Kluyveromyces lactis: one gene and its partner. The protein of the gene in region 1 interacts with the protein of each later gene in a biochemical or structural test. Links are inferred from orthologs where the notes say so. Each region holds a gene or a part of one and is shown on either strand. Other genes may lie near its edges.

What was found.
Region 2: the proteins of BRE1 (region 1) and LGE1 form a complex in vitro, tested with the Saccharomyces cerevisiae proteins (2 studies listed by BioGRID, with this or other methods). The link is inferred for Kluyveromyces lactis from reciprocal best matches to the Saccharomyces cerevisiae genes BRE1 and LGE1.

The regions. Positions count from the first base shown.
Region 1 is NC_006038.1:267,220-270,998, forward strand, and holds BRE1 (E3 ubiquitin-protein ligase BRE1), read right to left. Parts: upstream 2,571-3,779; coding exon 579-2,570; downstream 1-578. Other genes in the region: DUS4 (tRNA dihydrouridine synthase), read right to left, coding at 1-103; AHK1 (Ahk1p), read left to right, coding at 3,605-3,779. UniProt on the Saccharomyces cerevisiae protein: E3 ubiquitin-protein ligase that mediates monoubiquitination of histone H2B to form H2BK123ub1 in association with the E2 enzyme RAD6/UBC2.
Region 2 is NC_006038.1:857,552-860,022, forward strand, and holds LGE1 (Lge1p), read right to left. Parts: upstream 1,272-2,471; coding exon 579-1,271; downstream 1-578. Other genes in the region: IFA38 (ketoreductase), read right to left, coding at 1-288; AMN1 (Amn1p), read right to left, coding at 1,611-2,471. UniProt on the Saccharomyces cerevisiae protein: Required to activate transcription of PDR3, a gene involved in retrograde regulation of multidrug resistance, a phenomenon that takes place in cells that have lost their mitochondrial genome. Also required for ubiquitination of histone H2B to form H2BK123ub1.

The DNA.
Region 1 (3,779 bases):
TCGCTGGTCTGCAGTGTGTCTGACTTCTAGTTTTAATAATATGCAATGGATCATTTTTTTTTGTTAGCTTCTTAGCGGTAGGAAGCTGCACTGACAATGACATCTTACCGAGAGCTCTTGTGCGACCCGGAAAAACCTTAGAGATAATAAAGGACAGTTCAGTACTTTTAGAGACGCTACCAAAAATTTTAAGCGGACGACTAATACTTAGTATTACCGCTTCTGCTCTTGTGTGTCCCACCTTATATATATAGAGAGCCGTTACTATGAGAATAGTCCTGTGATTTCTTTATCTCATCGCAGTAGTCGATTAAATGTCAGACTTTGAATTTTGTTGATTTTTTAATCAGAACTACCGAATTAGGTATTTACAAGCGATATATTAGAATAATGTTACATAGATAATATATACAATGAAAAATGTATATAAGTCAAACTGTGGGGTCAAGGGGGTAAGGATGGATAAGGCATTTTCAAAAAATATATACCATTCTAAGAAGACAGGCGTGTTTACCGTTTGAAAATAAACGGCCTTGTTTTCCAAGATGCACCCTGATAGAATGCGGAATAAGACTCGTTCATAAATGTATGGATAGTAAATCGTTAGATGAGAAAGGTTTGTTACATGTAGGACATTTTCTCATCCTAGCAGCTAATCTTTCTTTGCAGCAAACATCGCAAAACACATGACCGCAAGTCTTGAGGGCAGTATTCTTCCAATTTTTGGAACATAATGAACAGTAGATTATAGTACGGAAATTCTCTAACTCTTCGGCTAGAGCACCATTGTCACCACCATTAGAGAGTAATGTCTTGTATAATTTCTTTGACTTGGCTTCAGCACTGGAAACCTTGATCTTCAGCTGCTTGTTTTCGATATCTTTGTCCTTGATTTTAGATTCGAGCTCAGTCTTAGTTCCGATTAGATTTCTGGTTTCTGATTCAAGACGTTCTGTTGATTTTTTCAATTTATTATTCTCAGATGTCAATTCCACTATCTTCATTGAAGTTTCTTTGTTAGATTCTTTGACCCTCTTCTCATTCTCTTGGGATAGGCTCAACTGCATGTGAACGTTTACGATCTTCTGTTGTAACGTCTTTTCAAGGTCCTTCAATTGAACGATGAGCTCGTTTGATTTGTTCAAATTTTTAGAAAGATTTTTGTTTTCTATCATTATAGCATCTTTGGATCTCATTGCAGCAAAATATTTTTCGCTGGCCTTTGTCTTTTCAACTGTCAATTTACTTAAAACAGATTCTTGGTTCAGGTATGCAGCATACTTTTTGTTTGAAAGATGTGACACCTCTCTGAAGGCCTTTTCGAGATCCTGTAATTCTTTCATTAATGCATCTTGGGACGCATTTTCTGAACTTCTGGATTCAAACTTTTGTAGTTGTTCTTGTTGGATATTCAATGACTTTTCTAAATCCTCTAACATCTCAGATTTGGTCTTTTGTGCCTCCAAAAGAGAAACTTTGGCCAATAATTCATCACGAATTGTTCTGATCCTAACTAAATCTTTCTCTAGAGAAGCATTGTGCTTTTTAAGGGTCTCCTGTGCTAAATTAAACTCTGAGGTAAGTTTATTGTTGAATATTTCTCTATCCGCGGATAGTTGTTGAAACTTGGTTAAGTAGCCTTCATTAATCTGTTGTAACTGTTCATTCTGTTTAGTTAAGGAACTGATTTTTTCATTAGTAACTGAAGCATCTGGTTGATGTTGCGAATTAGATTGAAGTTGGTTGTTAGAAAGCGCTGATTTATTAGATGCTACTGTTTGTCGTAGTTCCGAAAGTTCTCTTTCATTTTGATTTTTCCATTCCGTTAATTCCTTTACCGTAGCCTCCAAGACGGAGATTTGAGTATTCAAGTCATTTATTTCAATTTCGTGGTGAGCCTGAGATACTGCACTTTCTTTATTAGATTGGGATTTGTCTGAGTTATCATTTGACTCGTCATTCACAGAGCTTGCGCCAGTCGAAGATTGCTTCTCTTTCTTTACATTGCTATCATCATCAGCAGTGTTAAACACACGAGAAACACTTTCACTGTCCTGTCTATCATACTGAGCAATTATATTCTCATAATATTCGGTAGCCTTCTTCAGCTTATTTTCAGAGGATTTCAACAGCTTCTGTAAAGTCAAAGTGAGCGATTCTAGCTCCTGTAGTCTACCGATGTTATCAGAGATGTTAGATCCACTGGTCTTCAGTATTAGTTCGCATATCCTAGCACTGTTATTGCTGATTATCTGTGTAAGGGTATGCTCATCCTCAGTATTGATGAGTTGTTGTAAAAAGCGTTTGTCCTGCTCATCGCTGCAGTCCTCAACCACAGATCTAGCCAATACGACTATAGATGAACAGCATCCAGAAACCGACTCGGTGGTCTTCGAAAGCCCAGCCGCTAAAACCTCATTCTCTTCTACAAGCTGGTTAGCTTTGACTCTCCACTTATTCAAACATCTGAACAATGCCTCTTTTTGGAACGCTATTACATCCTTCTGCGTTAACGGCTCAGAAGGATCGGAAAGCTCTAGCTTTGGCCGCTTAACAAAATGGTCATTCATATATGCGGATTTATGTATAGGTCTCAGAAAACTTAGAGCTTGTATGACAATGTGAGCAAGTACAGTAAACCTTTCGTGAATTTCGTAAGCTCAGAATATCACACTGATAATCAGTCTCAAATTATATATCTCTAGATGTGAAAGACTGAAAAAAACCCTCCCACACTAAGTATTTTGCAAACTATAATGTCAGTAATACGTCTTGCCGAGTAGTACCCTTACAAGGCGTTCGAGATACCTCTTCAAGACCGACATTAGTGATGCTATCTTGTCAACTTTTAAAGTAAAACCTTTTTAACTTTTTTTCTTTGAAATATTTTTGGCGAATTTATCGAAAACCAAGGTCACGTGAAGGTAGCAGCAAGTAATCCATGTTCGCAGGGTGGAAAAAGGAAGTGCCAGGCAGCACTTTTTGATAAATTCATTACATGGTAAACTCTTGGGCTGTGTGCGTTCTAATGTGATGGGAAATGGCGTTGAATTTGATGTTATTACATGTGTTACTAATAGATTCTTGTTGTTTTTAGTATACAAAGATTTTTCATTCCGTTTCAATATAAGAATTTCTAAGATCTGAGATCCTTTAAGTTCACATAAAATATATAAAGTTTGTTTCTATATTCATTCAGTATTTTGTGTAGAGACAAGAGAATAGCAGTGGGACCAAATCCAATTGTATTATTGTGAGAAGCCCTAGTGATTGTATCAACACCTGGTGTAAAACGTTCGCTTTGATTATTTCACATTTCATAAGGGATTGCCAAAAGCTCTGACGTCTGTGTTTTGAAATCTTTCTGTCTCTGGGAACAAAAGTAGATTCTCCAGTTCTGACCCAAATTTAGATCTCAGAAAACATTTTATTCGTTCGATAGTTGCCTTACGTGCTTGGGGAAAGGTTTCGTACATGCGGTTAGAGTTATAAAATCCTCTTTTGAACGACCTTTCAGCCAGTAACCTAAGAAAGTTACCAATTAATTGAGATAGAACACTTTGAGAACCAACAGTAAAAGAAATCAAGAACAGACAGATTTAACATGGATACTGGCAGGCAAGATATGCATCTTTTGAATTCTTTGAATAAATTCATTAACCTCACAGCCTCTTCGGGTTCTATTGGTCACGGACCTGACCATGGGTTGTCTGTGTCACAATTGAAAGTGGTGACGAATTTCCTCCGATTGAATTTATTATCGCTATTACGTAAACTGG
Region 2 (2,471 bases), about 590 kb from region 1:
ACTGATCAAAATTAGGTTGAACCCGCGTTTCGCTAATTGTTTGGCGTATTCTTTACCAATACCGTCACTAGCACCAGTAACAACAGCATATGCACCTTTCCCCTTACCGTACTTCTTAAAGTCTGGACCTGGAAGAACAAACAAGTCTAAGACCATCTTGCTGAAGTTTAAGGTCAAAAACACCATCTTTGATATACCTAACCCGAAAACTATCCATGCAGCAACATTTAAGGAACTGCATTCTCTCAATGCTGTAACATTGTATAGTTGATCAATTAAAGCCACCATTTTGCACTGATCACTGATCCGTTAACAGAGTTTGCTACGGTTACCTGTGACAATTATTCTGCTCTGCCAATACTTGCATCGCGTATTACTCTACTCTTATGTCCCAAACTTTCAACTTTTTATTTCAATTTCTTTAGGATAGAAAATTGGATACCCGTTGGAACACAGTAAGTGACAAAATGGAATATATATCTAGCTGGAATGGTAATGATACATGGCAGTACTCTCATTGATTACATGACTAGTACTATTTATGATTCGAGTATATACTGATGTTCTATTCTTCCTTATTAGTTCATTAGTAGACTATCTAATTTCTCCTGCGTGAGCTGAACATTCAAAGCATCTTTTTCGCACTGCGTGCTCATTAAACCCAGCTCTAACTCGTCTTTGAATATTTTCAATTTGAGTTCTTCTAGTTTATTATCAATCTGATCATTCTCTTTGTACACCTCTTTGAGTTTAGATGTCCTGGAGTGATCATCGTTACTCATCATGTATATGAACGGATTCTCGTCCTTTGGTATGGTGAACTTTTTCTTTGGTTGTTCGTATTTGGGACTTGGATAAGAATTCCGGGACACCGGTAACACATTTGATCCCCGCGAGTACGCCGATGATGATGATACTGATGACGCCGTGGATGGTGGTGGCGCTGGTGGTACAGACTGCTGTCCGTAAGGTCTTCTGTACGTTGAATTCGAACCGTATCTACTATCGCTGTGTTGGTATGGATGGTAGGAACCTCCCCTGTACGTCTGTCTCTGCACTCCGTGTGCATGAGTGGGCTGACCGTATCCATACCCCTGTTGTTGATGATACCCCCCGTTGTTATAGTATCCTCCATCTTGTCTGTGATTCGACCTGTATCTTGGCGGACCTCTGTTATTACTATTAGGCTGATATCTGTTTCCAGAGGGCTTGTATCCATTGTAGTTTCCTCCGGACCTATAACTAGATCCTCCTTCGTTTGGTTCACTCATTTTCCGATACTGATAGGAGATTATTCACTGCTATACTATTGGATGAACAACTGCCTCATCTCATCTACTGAGCAGTGTCTCTCTTTCTAAATCTTCGTATTTGACTGCATTTCCAACTTTTTCAATTTTAAAACTATGTGATATTAGTCACGTGAGTTATATTGGGCAACTGCTACTTCAGAGCTGTGAGAGGAGCGGATTAAGAAGAGAATGATTTGGTTTAATTAGTCGGGAATATATAAGGTGCAAATTACATTAGTGTCATGATACGATTGGAGCAGTGGTTATATACCTGCTGATGGTATAACGTATGAGAGTCTCTCAGATTATTTTTTTATCTCAGGTCGCTTCGTTGACCCATCTATTTAGATCGTTGACGATCCGAGTTCTGAATTCCTTGTATAGCTGCTGTTCTTGCAATTCGAATTCTTTCTTCATCGAATCACTGATATGGATATGTATCGGTTTCATCAGATATTTGTGTCTCCAGTCACGGTATTGGATTAAGTTTTTGAAACGAACCAGTTGACAGTTCCGGATATCTAAGACTTTCAGATTTGGAAATCCATGCTTGGCAACGATATCGCTAATGCTACTATCTGATATTTGTGTGCAGCCATTTATTGACAATCGAACCAGCGTTGTTGAATGTTTGCTGTACAGTTGCCATATTGATACGTCAGAGATCTTGTCGCATCCTGAGAAACCGACCGTAGTAAGATGTTCTAACTCAGATAGTGCCATGATTGAAAGATCAGTAATCAAATGCGAGTTTTCATGACGCCCCAAGTTTATACTTTGTAGTTTGGGACAGTGCGTTACGATAGAAACGATGGAAATGTCACTGATCTGAGAACATGCACGTAGGTCTAAATCTATCAAATTCGGCAGCCCCAAAATCAGTGAGATTAACTCTTCGTCATTGATTTTCTTGTTGCCAGCTATCGTTAGTTTCGTTAAGTTGTTTGAAATGGTAACGTCATCGAAGATCGCTGGTAAGACGGGACTGATGTAAAAGTTAAGGGAATTGAGTCTTGTAAACCTGATACGGGGCAATTGATTTTCGATAAAGTTTCTATGCTGTTTAAGCTTGTAGAAAGTTAGACTCTTTGGATGTACTTTCTGGTCCAATTCAACAATCTTCAAATCGCCGGAGATAGAAGATTGTTGAATCACCAAATCCTTATTAATGATGCTTGA